2 linked regions of the Anolis sagrei genome follow. The protein of the gene in region 1 interacts with the protein of each later gene in a pairwise test. Links are inferred from orthologs where the notes say so. Each region holds a gene or a part of one and is shown on either strand. Other genes may lie near its edges.

Evidence for each region.
Region 2: the proteins of PSD4 (region 1) and LDLRAP1 interact in binary tests that used the Homo sapiens proteins (3 or more experiments, as listed by UniProt). The two-hybrid records come from large-scale screens. The link is inferred for Anolis sagrei from reciprocal best matches to the Homo sapiens genes PSD4 and LDLRAP1.

Annotation. Positions count from the first base shown.
Region 1 is NC_090027.1:20,934,155-20,941,311, reverse strand, and holds the start of PSD4 (PH and SEC7 domain-containing protein 4), read left to right. Parts: upstream 1-4,049; 5' UTR 4,050-4,255; intron 4,256-7,157. UniProt on the Homo sapiens protein: Guanine nucleotide exchange factor for ARF6 and ARL14/ARF7. Through ARL14 activation, controls the movement of MHC class II-containing vesicles along the actin cytoskeleton in dendritic cells. Involved in membrane recycling.
Region 2 is NC_090034.1:75,620,354-75,628,304, reverse strand, and holds the start of LDLRAP1 (low density lipoprotein receptor adapter protein 1), read left to right. Parts: upstream 1-4,717; 5' UTR 4,718-4,841; coding exon 4,842-4,926; intron 4,927-7,951. UniProt on the Homo sapiens protein: Adapter protein (clathrin-associated sorting protein (CLASP)) required for efficient endocytosis of the LDL receptor (LDLR) in polarized cells such as hepatocytes and lymphocytes, but not in non-polarized cells (fibroblasts).

The sequences.
Region 1 (7,157 bases):
TTAAATAAAGAAATAGTCTCCCTCCCTCGCTACAATATAAAATGGTGGCAGTGGTGGGATAGAAAAGAAAGGTCTCCCCTGCCACACAACAGTGCCTATAATTCCTCACAGCCATGTTCCAGAAGCATTCTCTTCTAACGTTTCACCTGCATCTATGGCAGGCATCCTCAGAGGTTGTGAAATTTCAGGAGTAGAACAATAATTGTAAAGTAAGGACCACACTATTAAACATGAATAACTAACACTTTCAAACTAGGAGCACTTTCCCTGTCCTCTGCAGCACCAAAACTTGGCTTTGTTGGTAGATGGGAGGGAAGGAAGGGCCTTTGCAGCAAAAGTGGGTTGTTGTTGCTGTTGCTGCAACTGCTTCTGCTGTTTTTGTATGCCTTCCAGCTGTTTTCAGTATCCTCCTTGCAACTATACTCCTAAATAAATCCCCAGAAGTCGCATCAGGATCATCCAACAGAACTTTTGTATCTCACCTGTCTGCTTTTCCAAAGTTTTGTGTCTCCACAAAACTGTAGTATTTTGGGTGCTTTTTTTCATTTTATGCTTTAAATTGTACCGCTCTTTGTTGTTTTTTCCCATCTCTTCTTATGCTACTCACCAAAGAGCAATATGATAAGTGTTAATAAAAAAAATTAACACCATCAGGGCTGGATTGCTCTTCACGGCGTGCATTTCCTTGCACCTGCCTCTCTTCATTTTGATCATCATTTCCTGGGTTCATTAGAGTGGAACGCGTTCCGCTCCATGACAGGATGTTTGCTTCACTCTAGAACCCTGAACCAGGTCGTGGTGTTTCTTTTTCGACATTTATTTTTCTATGAAGTGATTACAGATTAATGAAAACCTAAGGAAGGAAAAGGAAAATGCAGCTTTTCCTGGGTTGGGGGGGAGGCTCCTGCTAAGGCTGAGAGGAAGACCAACCAATTGCTAGATGGAGGGGCTGTCTAGGTTTCCCAGGTCAGATGCACCACCAGGGGCTACAATTATTATTATTATTATTATTATTATTATTATTATTATTATTATTATATAAAAAATAATATAAAATAAATAATAATAATAATAATAATAATGATAATAATAATGTATTGTCGAAGGCTTTCATGGCTGGAATCACTAGGTTCTTGTGGGGTTTTTTCGGGCTATAGAGCCATGTTCTAGAGGCATTTCTCCTGACGTTTCGCCTGCATCTATGGCAAGCATCCTCAGAGGTAGTGAGGTCTCAGGAGGATGCTGAGGATACCTCTGAGGATGCTTGCCATAGATGCAGGCGAAACGTCGGGAGAAATGCCTCTAGAACATGGCTCTATAGCCCGAAAAAACCCACAAGAACCTAATAATAATAATAATAATAATAATAATAATAATAATAAAAGAGTCAGAAAGGTTTTGAAGAGCAAATTAAATGGCAGAAATACAATTAAGGCTCTCAACACCTGGGCCATCCCCGTCATTAGATACACTGCTGGGATTGTGAACTGGACACAAACAGAGCTGGATGATCTGGACAGAAAAACAAGAAAACTGATGACAATCCACTACGCATTACATCCGCGTAGTGATGTCAACAGACTTTACCTGCCCAGAAAATCAGGAGGCAGAGAGAGGGCTTCTGCAAGTGAAACAAACGGTAGAAGAAGAAAAACATGTGCTGGCAGATTATGTGAAAGGCAGTCAAGAACCAACATTGAGGGAAGTAAATAATAGAAAGCTGCTTCAAGTGCAAAAGACAAAGAGTGAATACCGTAAAAACACAATGCAGAGCAGAAGAGGAAACTGGCAAAAGAAGGCTCTCCATGGACAATTCCTGGCAAAAATTGAGAGCCAAATGGACAAAGAAAAAACATGGCTGTGGCTCACAAATGGAACTTTGAAAAAGGAGACGTAGGCCCTGATTCTGGCAGCCCAAGAACAAGCCATTCGAACCAATGCCATCAAAGCCAGAACTGAAAAGTCAACAACAGATCCCAAATGGAGACTCTGTAAGGAAGCAGATGAAACAATAGATCACATCCTCAGCTGCTGCAAGAAGATCGCGCAGACAGACTCCAAGCAGAGGCAGAACACCGTTGCTCAGATGATCCATTGGAAGTTATGCCACAAACACCATCTGCCTGCGACAAAGAACTGGTGGGATCACAAGCTGGAAAAAGTTACAGAGAATGAACACGCCAAACTCCTCTGGGACTTCCGGATTCAGACTGATAGTGTTTTGGAGCGCAAGACTCCTGACCTCACAATCATGTTAAAAAAAACAAAGTATGGATTGTTGATATTGCAATCCCAGGCGACAGCAGGATTGAAGAGAAGCAACTGGAAAAGATGACATGATATGAGGATTTAAAGATCGAACTGCAAAAACTTTGGCACAAGCCAGTTAAGGTGGTCCCAGTGGTGATCAGCACACTGGGTGCAGTGACTAAAGACCTTGGCCTGCACTTAAACACAATCAGTGCTGACAAAATTACCATCTGCCAGTTGCAAAAGGCCATTTTACTGGGGTCTGCATGCATTATTCGCCGATACATCACACAGTCCTAGACACTTGAGAAGTGTCTGACGTGTGATCCAATACAACAGCCAGCAGAGTGTCTGCTGTGGACTCATCTTCTTGTGCTTCAAAATAATAATAATAATAATAATAATAATAATAATAATAATAATAACAATAAATCACACAGTCCTAGATGCTTGGGAAGTGTCCAAAGTGTGATCCAATACAACAGCCAGCAGAGTGTCTGCTGTGGACTCATCTTGTTGTGCTTCAAATAATAATAATAATAATAATAATAATAATAATAATAATAATAATAATAATAGAATATAATGATATATAATAATAATATTGTAATATAATAATACTGATTTAATTAACTATAATACTACTGAATATATAAAATATATTCTGTTTTATTATTCTACATTTGTATATTTTAAGTTGTAATGTTTTAGATTGTTAGACAATTTGAGTCTCTGTATGGAGCAATAAAGCGGTGTGTATATATATATATATATATATATATATATATAGAACCCCCTGATGGGGCAGTTGGTTAAACCGCTGAGCTGCTGAACTTGCTGACCAAAAGGTAAGCAGTTCGAATATGAGGAGCGGGGTGAGCTCCTCCTGTTAGCCCCAGCTTCTGCCAAGCTAGCAGTTCAAAAAGATGCAAATGTGAGTAGATCAATTGGTACCGCTCTGCTAGGAAGGTAAGGCTACTCCATGCAGTCATGCCAGTGGCTCCATAGCCTTGGAGGTGTCTATGCACAATGCCGGTTCTTTGCTTTAGAAATGGAGATGAGCACCAACCCCCAGAGTCAGGCACAGCTGGACTTAATGTCAGGGGAAAACCTTTACATATACATGCACAGGGCCGTAGCCAGAGGGAGGGGTTTAAAAGTTCAACCCTGTCCTGAAATGTGTCAGGTTAAAAAAGAATTTACTCATAAATTGGTTGACCAGTTAAAATTCATGAATAAACCAGGGTTGGGGGGGGGGGGGGGTTAGAACCCTTAAACCCCCTCCCTCTGGCTACGGCCCTGGATACATATATATGTGTGTGTATAAATGTACTGTTCGTTTGTGGGATTAACATAACTCAAAAACCACTGGATGAATTGACACCAAATTTGGACAAAATACACCTATCAGGCCAATGAGTGACCATCACTCATAAAAACATGGAAAACACAGCAGAAGAGACTTAAAAAGCCAAAAAATAAAAAAATACATTTTAACGCATATGCAAAACCACTGCACAAACATACATATATACACATATACACAAATATATACACACACAAACACCTATACACAGACAGCCACAGCAAAGTGTGGCAGGGGACGGCTAGTATATATATACAACTAAAAATTCAGCAATAACCCCAAAGGGTGTTGGGGAAGGCACGCGACCTTGGGTCGCTCTCTTTGGTGTCAAAGTGGCTCCACAAGAGGAAGAGGAGGAAGCCGGGCCCCTGAATTGCATCAGGTTTCTGTGCGGTTGCCTCTACCGCTGGGACTTCCTGTTCAGAAGACAAGTGTTAGCGTCAGACGAGCCAAGTGTGGCAAGCGGGGGCCTTGCTTTGGGGGCCCCGGAGAAAGGGGAAGGCCCCGTCCTTCTGGGCCTTAGATGGTCCGTTTGCCATTCAGGAGGAGCCTGCTTCACAAGAGGCCCATTCCCTAAAGAGAAGCAGAGCCGAGCCACGGAGGAGCATCTGGCTCAGGAGCCCAAGCCGTCTGTATCTGGTGAGTCTATAGAAGGAGCAGGAGAAGGTCTCCAATGGACTACCTAGAGCTCAGATTGGGGGTCTTCACTAGGACCTTCCAAGGAGACTCCATTGGGTTACCTAGAGCTCAGACTGGGGGTCTTCACTAGAACCTTCCAAGGAGACTCCATTGGGTTACCTAGAGCTCAGATTAGGAGTCTTCACTAGGACCTTCCAAGGAGACTCCATTGGGCTACCTAGAGCTCAGATTGGGGGTCTTCACTAGGACCTTCCAAGGATACTTCATTGGGCTACCTAGAGCTCGGATTGGGGGGTCTTGACTGGGACCTTCCAAGGATACTCTATTGGGCTTTCTAGAGTTCAGATTGGGGGTCTTCACTAGGACCTTCCAAGGACACCCCATTAGGTTACCTAGAACTCAGATTGGGGGTCTTCACTAGGACCTTCCAAGGATACTCCATTGGGTTACCTAGAACTCAGATTGGGGATCATCACTGAGACCTTCCAAGGATACTCTATTGGGCTACCTAGAGCTCAGATTGGGGGTCTTCACTAGGACCTTCCAAGGAGACTTCTTAAGCTGCAGGAAACAGAAGGCGAAGAAGGAAAACAAAAAGGAAGAGGAGGATGGGCGGTTTTGGAAAATGCCATTCATAACTTTTTGGGGGAAACTACGAATCTTTTGGAAAGGCATGACCTTGTTAGAGATTGTAACCTTTCATAAAGTATTATCTTCCTTAGAATTCAAAACTCACTTGTGTCAACCTTCTCCTTAGTGGCAAATATCTACAAGTATTCATGCAAATTGGTCTCTGAACTGTTAGGAACAAAGATATGCCAATACACAAAAACATATATAGCAGAGTTTCAGAAGTGTCCTTTTCAGTTGACCCCCAAAATCTACTCTCCCTCAAAACATCTTAGTTTAAATCATGCTTTCAAGAAACCAAAAATAAGTAGATGTCATTAAATGTAACAGTTACTCACAAACATGTATTCAGCATGCATGTATATTGCATATCAATCCATTTACAGATAGAATTTTAAAAAGTGATATTTTTTGTGATGTGTCATCTGTTATATGTCTCTTTGTTGGTATTGAAAGTCTGCCATATGTGTTAGAAACCACCCAGGAAGATAAGGCAGTCAATAAATAAATTATTATTATTATTATTATTATTATTATTATTATTATTTGATATGCAACAAGATGAGTCCACAGCGAACAAGATCCCTATGCTGGCTGTTGTATTTGAACACAAAAGATCCCAGTAAGGTGGCCTTTTGCAGCTGACAGATGGTAATTTTGTCAGTGCCGATTGTTTTCAAGTGCAGGCCACGGTCTTGAGGCACTGCACCCAGTGTGCTGATCACAACTGGGACTTGCTTGACTGGCTTGTGCCAAAATCTTTGCAGTTTGATCTTTAAATTCTCATATCGTGTAAGTTTTTCCAGTTGCTTCTTGTCAATTCTGCTGTCACTTGGGATGATGATTACTTTCTCTGTGCAGATAACACAGGGCATCTTTCTTACAATCAATAGTCCAAAGCCTAAAGCATCTCACTGTTCTGAGAGTCTAATGGAGTCTTTTCTCTGAAGCATTCTGTTTCTACTTCTAAAATATATTATATACAATAATATAATAATAAATATAATTGTAATTATATAATGTAATATTATAATATAATAAAAATATAATATGCTATAGCAGGATGTCCCTCCTGCAGATAATTATTAATAATATTATAATAATTTAACACAATAATACAATAATAATAATATAATAATAATAATATAATATAATGTGCTATAGCAGGGTGTCTCTCCTGCAGATAATTACTAATAATAATACAATACAACAATATAATAATAAATACAATAATAATATATTATATTATAATAATAATGCATGTGCTATAGCAGGCTGTCCCTCCTACTGATAATTAATAATAATAAGAAGAAGAACAATAATAAAATAAATATAATTATAATAATATAATATAATAATGTGCTATAGCAGAATGTCCCTCCTTCAGATAATTATTAATAATAATATATAATAATTACAATAATAAACTAAATATAATTATTATAATATAATATAATATAATATAATATAATATATTGTGCTATAGCAGAATGTTCCTCTTGCAGATAATTATTAATAATACAATACAATAATATAATAATTATTATAATAATCATATAATATATTATAATATAATAATATAACATGTTATAGCAAGATGTCCCTGCTGCAATTATAATAATATAATAGTTACAATAATAGAATAATAAATATAATAATATAATATAATAAAGTGCTATAGCAAAATGTCGCTCTTGCAGATAATAATTGGTAATATAATACAATAATATAATATAATTATTGTATAATAATAATATAACGTGCTATAGCAAGATGTCCCTGCTGCAAATAATTAATAATATAATATAATTACAATAACAGAATAATAATAATAATAATAATAATAATAATAATAATCTATATAAATAAAATGCAATGTTCATTTGTGGGATTAACATAACTCAAAAACCACTGGATGAATTGACATCAAATTTGGACACAATACACCTCTCAGGCCAATGAATGACCATGACACATAAAAACACTGGAAAACACAGCAGAAGAGATTTAAGAATCCAAAAAATAAAAAATACATTACAATGCATGTGCAAAACCACATATTTATTTATTTATTTCGGGTACTTTTACCCCACCCTTCTCAACCCCGGATGGAGGACTCAGGGCGGCTTACAGAAAAGGCACAATTTGATGCCTGTACAAAATTACACACAATATACAAAACCATAATTAAAAACAGTTATCACAGTTAAAACAAACAACAACCAGTACATAACACATCATATAAAACATCATATCTACTATTCTCGTGCTC
Region 2 (7,951 bases), on another chromosome or scaffold:
ATTTATTTATTTATTTATTTGACTTGTATACCGCTACTCCCAATTTGGCTCGGAGCAGTTTACAGCAGTAGATTAAAAGAATACAATTAACTTTAAAATACAATAAAAACAAGAACAGACATAGTCTCGAGTTATTCACCCATCAAAAGCTTGTCGGAAGAAAAAGGTTTTACAGGCTTTCCGAAAAGCAAGTAGGTCTCAGATAGATCGGGTTTCAACTGGCAAGGCATTCCATAAATAAGGGGCCACAATCGAGAAGGCTCTCTGCCTAGTAGAGGACAGATGATAAGTCCGGATGTTGGGGACTTCAAGCAAATTTTGGTCTTCGGACCGAAGTAATCTCTGGGGTTGGTAGGGGGATAAGTGGGCCCTCAGGTACGCCGGCCCCAGACCATATAAGGCCTTAAAGGTTAATACCAGCACCTTGAAAGTAATCCGGTACTCAATTGGTAGCCAGTGCAGCTGTTGTAGAACTGGGGTGATACGACACCTCACCGGCACCCTGGCGAGAAGACGAGCCGCCGCATTTTGCACCAGCTTCAGTTTCCGGATCACTGACAAAGGAAGGCCAATGTAGAGGGCGTTACAGTAGTCAAGCCTCGAGCTGACCATTGCCTGGATCACCGTAGCCAGGTCGTTCCTAGATAGGTAGGGAGCCAGTCGCCTAGCAGATGGAAAAATGCAGATCTGCTCACAGCAGAGACCTGGGCCTCCATTGTGAGCAGAGGGTCCAATAAGACACCAAGACTTTTTACAGCCTATCTCCACACTATCTCCGAGGGATTGTGATACTTATATACAAGCAGTCCCCGAGTTATAGATATTCAGTTTCCATACAACTCATAGTTAAGAAGGGGTGGGACAACAGGAAGTGAGAGAAATCTAGCCCTCGGAAGGAAAATTCACTCCTAGAAGAGTTATCATCATGGGGAAAAGGTTTCTCAACTAAAGCTTTATCACCAATCCTGGTTTCCACAACAAGCAAATTTTTCAAAAGCCAATGATCACAGGGGCAGAAAGTGAGGTGAAATCTTCTGAACAGGGGCACAGGCAGCAAAACAAACACCACAGGAGTGTTAACCCTTCCCTATGCTATCTAAAGCTAATCTATATACATATTTGGCTTGAATTACCCTTCAAAAAATGGACCTGTTCTAACTTGCATACAAATTCAAGTTGAGAAGAAACCTTCAGTATTATTATTATTATTTTACTGACACAAAAACACAGTATGTCACAGCAAATGAGATATATATGCTGGATTTCATATCACAAAATCACAAGTTGAACACTTCCAAAGTGTCTAGGACTGTGTGATGTATTTTCGAATGATGCACACAGCTCCAAGTAAGGTGGCCTTTTGCAGTTGATAGATGATGATTTTGTCAATGTTTATTGTTTTCAAATGCTGGCTGAGATCTTTTGGCACGACACCCAGTGTGCCGATTACCACTGGGAACACCTGTACTGGTTTATGCTAGAGCAGTGGTTCTCAACCTTCCTAATGCCGTGACCCCTTAATACAGTTCCTCATGTTGTGGTGACCCCCAACCATAACATTATTTTTGTTGCTACTTCATAACTGTAATTTTGCTACTGTTATGAATCACAATGTAAATATCTCATACTTTCATTCACTGGACCAAATTTGACACTAATACCCGATACGTCCAAATTTGAATACTGGTGGGACTGGGGGGGATTGACTTTGTCATTTGGGAGTTGTAGTTGATGGGATTTATAGTTAACCTACATGCAAAAAGCATTCTGAACTCCACCACCAATGGAACTGAACCAAACCTGGCACACAGAAGTCCCATGACCAACATAAAATACTAGAAGTGTTTGGTGAGCATTGACCTTGAGTTTTGGAGTTGTAGTTCACCTACATCCAGAGAGCATGGTGGACTCAAACAGTGATGGATCTGGACCAAATTTGGCACAGATACTCAATATGCCCAAATGTGAACACTGGTGGAGTTTGGGGGGGGGGGGGAGACCTTGACATTTGGGAGTTGTAGTTGCTGGGATTTACAATTCACCTACAATCAAAAAGCATTCTGAACCACACCAATGATAGAATTGGGCCCAACTTCCCAAAACAGAACCCCTATGACCAACAGAAAATACTGTGTTTCTGATGGTCTTTGGCGACCCCTTTGGTATCCCCTCATGACCCCCCCAGGCAGGACATAGTGGATAAGCATACAGATGTGGAGTTGTCTGTTCTGCTCCACAGTCACACAAGGTGTGGGATTCTTTTAGGTAGTGCCATTTTGCCAGGTTGTCTTTTGATCTGCCCACTCCACTTCTGAATTTGTTCAGGGACTTCCAAGTTACCCATCCTTGATTTGCCCCTGAAGGAAGAGCCTCGTGGGTGGGGGTGGGGGTGGGGGGCATCCAGTTCGGATTTCTTGGTTGAGCTGCCCAGAGGGATACCCCAAGGATATTAGGCAAGCCCCCACATTGGCAGTCTTTAGGAGGAGCTTGAAAACATGGTTGTTCCAATGTGCCTTCCCTGAATAAAAGAACAATAATTTATAACTTTATTCTATTTGTTGGGACACTCAACCCTACCTTGCCCTCTAAAAAACCCTGTTTAGATTCATTTTACTGCTGTTCACACCCAGAGTTTTAAATTGTGAATCTATTAGATTTGGCCCTGCCCACAGTGTTGGATCTTTGTGTTTTTAAATGTTTTGTTTTACTGCTGATATGTTATTTATAATGGTTTTGTATTGTATTTTTCCCCTTTATTTTATTGCTGTGTTGATTTACTGATGTATTGTATCATTGGGCTTGGCCTCATGTAAGTTGCCCCGAGTCCCCTTGGGAAGATGGTGGTGGGGTATAAATAAAGTTTCATTATTATTATTATTATTATTATTATTAGTGCTCAACCTTATTTCTCTCACATTAAGCAGCAACTTCCCGTTGCACATCGGGGGGGGGGGGGGGCGGTGGCAATGCCAGCTAGCTTGTGTAGGTTTAAGACATCCTGTGATTATTCTGCATGTTTCATTCCATGCTATGTAATGGCCAAGGAGCTCTGGCATGAGCTGGTCCAGGAGGTCACGAAGAGTGAGTCGGATGTGACTGAACGAATAAACAACAACAGTTTTCCCTAACAGAAGGTGTCTCTGATAACCCAGTTCAAAGCAGAGATTGCGGATCATTTGAAGCCCTAACTCTCCCCGCCCCTTGGCTACAGTCCTGGCTGAGACTGTTGGAAATAGTGGGAGCTAGTCCAACCCCCTTCTGCCTTCATGCAGTCAAAGCACAATCAAAGTGCCCCCAACAGGTGGCCATCCAACCCCAACAACAACAACAGAATTGGAAGAGACCACATGGGCCATCTAGTCCAGGGGTCCTCAAACTAAGGCTGGAGGGCCGGAAACGGCCCTCCAAGGTCATTTACCCGGCCCTCGCTCAGGGTCAGTCTAAGTCTGAAACGACTTAAAAGCACACAACTATAATAACAATCCCATCTCACCAGCCAAAAGCAGGCCCACACTTCCTACTGAAATACTAATAAGTCTATATTTGTTAAAATTGTTCTTAATTTTAATTATTGTATTGTTTTAAAGTGTTTTTGCACTACAAATAACATATGTACAGTGTGCATAGGAATTCATTCATTTTTTTTTAAAAAATATAATCCGGCTCTCCAACAGTTTGAGGGACTGTGACATGGCCCTCTGTTTACAAAGTTTGAGGATCCCTGATCTAGTTCAATCCCCTTCTACCTTCATGCAGCAAAAGCACAATGAAAGCACTCCTGACAGATGGCCATCCAGCCTCAACAACAACACCGACAGAATTGGAAGAGACCGCATGGGCCATCTAGTCCAACCCCTTTCTGCCCTCATGCAGTCAAAGCACAATCAAAGCGCCCCCGACAGATGGCCATTCAATCTCAACAGCAACAACAACAGAATTGGAAGAGACCACATGGGCAATCTAGTCCAACCCTCTTCTGCCTTCGTGCAGCAAAAGCACAATGAACGCAACCCTGACAGATGGCCAACCAGCCTCAATGACAACAACAACATGGACCATCTAGTGCAACCCCCTACTTCCTTCATGCAGTAAAAGCACAATGAAAGCACCTCTGACAAATGGCCATCCAGCCACAACAACAGAATTGGAAGAAACCACATGGACCATCAAGTCCATCAAGTCCAATCTCCTTCTGCCTTCGTGCCCCAAAAGCACAATGAAAGCACCCCTGACAGATGACCATCCAGTTTCAACAACAACAAGAGTTGGAAGAGACCCTTAGGCCTCTTCCACACTGCCCCTGTATTCCAGGATCTGATTCCAGATTATCTGCTTTAAATTGGATTATATGAGTCCCCAGTGCCAGATAATCTGGGATAAGCAGATAATCTGGGCTCAGATCCTGGGACAGAGAGTGGTGTGGAAGAGGCCTGAATTCCAGTGTGGGGAAATGATTGATATGTGTCTCAGGGCCCTTCCATACAGCCATATAACCCTGAACATCAAGACAGATTATCCAGATGATCTGAGTCCAAAAAACCTGGAGGGAAGGCTCAGGTTGTCCCCTGCCTGGCCTAGAGAGTCCCTTCTGCGGGACAGCGGCGCCTGTTGCTGCTGGGTGCGCCTTCCCGGCTTGGCACCGGCAGGAAGCGGAGGAGGAGTCCCCGGTTGCCCGGCCTGCCTTTCCCTCCCCTTCCCTGCCCTGCCCTCCCTCCTTTCCCCAGGAGATCCTCCCTCTGCGAAGGAGGGGCCAGTGCCGAGGAGGACGCACAGGAAAGCGAAAAAAAGAAACAGAAGAAAGTTTGGCCGAGACTTTGGAGACTTTGTTTCTCCTTTGCGGCATGGACGCCCTCAAATCCGCCGGGCGGGCCATCATCCGGAGCCCGAGCTTCGCCAAACCCGGCTGGGGAGGAGGCAAGCACAAAAGTGAGTTAGTTTCCCCCATTTTTCCAAAGTGATCCCCCCTTTTGGACCCCCCTCTTGAGCCTTTCCAAAGGAAAGAGTCTGGAGTTCTGCTGCGCCCTCCGTGCGCCCTCGGTGCGCTTTTGGAGAGGTTTAGGGGGACCGCCTAAACCGCCTCGCTTTGGGACCTTGCTCCGGGTCGAGGGGATCCGTTTCCTGATCCGATTACAGAGAGGAAACTCCACTCCCAGGATCCGATCTCACTGGGTGGGGGGAATCTCCGTCGAGGGTTTTTTTCCGGATCTTAACTCGCCTCGGATGTTTCTCGGTGGCTAAAGTTTGGGGAACTTTTCCCCGGCGCTCAGTCATTGCTTTGTCAGCAAACTTTTTGTTTGTTTCAGTCTCATTACATTAGAGAGAAAGATCTACTGAAAATCCGGTTTCTGGGCTTTGTAGTTTAGGGAGGAGCCTTTCACAGCCTCACTAAACTACAAACCCCAGCATTCTGCAGAAGGCAGAAACCGGATTTTAAGTGGATTTTCTCTCTCTAATGTGATGAGAAGCCATAGAAACAAACCACAGAAAGCCATAGAAACAAACTTCATCACACTAGAGAATGAATCCACTTAAAATCCGGTTTCTGGGGTTTGTAGTTTAGGGAGGAGCCTTTCACAGCCTCACTAAACTACAAACCCCAGCATTCTGCAGAAGGCAGAAACCGGATTTTAAGTGGATTCATTCTCTAGTGTGATGAAGTTTGTTTCTATGGCTTCCATGGTTTAGAGCAGTGGTTCTCAACCTGGGGGTCGGGACCCCTGGAAGGGTCACAAGAGAGTGTCAGAGGGGTCACTAAAGACCACCAGAAAACACAGTATTTTCTGTTGGTCATGGGGGTTCTATGTGGGAAGTTTGGCCCAATTCTGTCATTGGTGGGGTTCAGAATTCTCTTTAATTGCAGGTGAACTATAAATCCCAGCAACTACAACTCCCAAGATATCAAAGTCTATTTCCCCCAAATTCCACCAGTATTCACATCTGGGCATCTTGAGTATTCATGCCAAGTTTAGTCCAGATCCATCATTGTTTGAGTCCGCAGTGCTCTCTGGATATAAGCAAACTACAACTCCAAAACTCAAGTCAATGCCCACCAAAATCCTTCCAGTATTTTCTGTTGGTCAGGGGAGTTCTGTGTGCCAAGTTTGGTTCAATTCCATCATTGGTGGAGTTCAGAATGCTCTTTGATTGTAGGTGAACTATAAATCCCAGCAACTACAACTCCCAAGATATCAAATTCCCAATTCCATCATTGGTGGAGTTCAGAATGCTCTACAATCAAAGAGCTCTGTGATGCTCTTTGATTGTAGGTGAACTATAAATCCCAGCAACTACAACTCCCAAGATATCAAATCCCCAAATTCCACCAGTATTCACATCTGGGCATCTTGAGTATTATTGCCAAGTTTAGACCAGATCCATCATTGTTTGAGTCCACAGTGCTCTCTGGATGTAGGCGAACTACAACTCCAATACTCAAGGTCAATGCCCACCAAACCCTTCCAGTATTTTCTGTTGGTCATGGGAGTTCTGTGTGCCAAGTTTGGCCCAATTCCATCGCTGGTGGAGTTCAGAATGCTCTTTGATTGCAAGTGAACTATAAATCCCAGCACCTACAACTCCCAAATGTCAAAGTTTATTTCCCCCAAAGTCCACAAGTGTTCACATTTAGGTATACTGAGTATTATTGCCAAGTTTAGTCCAGATCCATCATTGTTTGAGTCCACAGTGCTCTCTGGATGTAGGCGAACTACAACTCCAAAACTCAAGGTCAATGCCCACCAAAATCCTTCCAGTATTTTCTGTTGGTCACAGGAGTTCTGTGTCCCAAGTTTGGTTCAATTCCATCATTGGTGGAGTTCAGAATGCTCTTTGATTGTAGGTGAACTATAAATCCCAGCACCTACAACTCCCAAATGCCAATGTCTATTTCCCCCAAAGTCCACAAGTGTTCACATTTAGGTATACTGACTATTATTGCCAAGTTTAGTCCAGATCCATCATTGTTTGAGTCCACAGTGCTCTCTGGATGTAGACGAACTACAACTCCAAAACTCAAGGTCAATGCCCACCAAAATCCTTCCAGTATTTTCTGTTGGTCACGGGAGTTCTGTGTGCCAAGTTTGGTTCAATTCCATCATTGGTGGAGTTCAGAATGCTCTTTGATTGTAGGTGAACTATAAATCCCAGCAACTACAACTCCCAAATGACAAAATCAACCGCCCAACCCCACCAGTATTGAAACATGGGCGTATCGGGTATTTGTGCCAAATTTGATCCAGTGAATGAAAATACACCCTGTGTATCAGATATTTACATGACGATTCATAACAGCAGCAAAATGACAGTTATGAAGTAGGAAGGAAAATAATGTTATGGTTGGGGGTCACCACCACATGAGGAACTGTATTAAGGGGTCGCAGCATGAGGAAGGTTGAGAACCATTGGTTTAGAGGACCTTTCTGTCCTCTCTTTTTCTCATCTGGGGTGTCTTTCCAAAGGTTTGCAACAGTTTAATAAGGACCACCAAAGATTCACAGCAACCCTGCCCCAATCCCTGGATCCTTCGCCTCTAGAGCAGAGCTTTCCAAACTTTGTCATGTTGGGGACACACTAGAGCAGGCATGGGCCCTCCAGGTGTTTTGGACTTCAACTCCCACAATTCCTAGCAGCCTCAGGTCCCTTCATTAGCATTTGAAGGCCTGCCTGAGCCTGGAAATTACAACAGCAAAACAACAGAGAGGAAACAACCAGGCACATCTTAACACCTCTCAGCAAGAGATTTTCCCAGGCTCAGGCAGGCCTTCAAATGCTAATGAAGGTGGTCAGTTGAAACATTCACACCTAGCTCCAGCAGAGAAAAGCTCTTTGCCCCACCCCAGCCATTCCACAGATATATAAACCCATTGTCCTAATTCCAACAGACCTCACTACCTCTGAGGATGCTTGCCATAGATGCAGGCGAAACATCAGGAGAAATGCCTCTAGAACATGG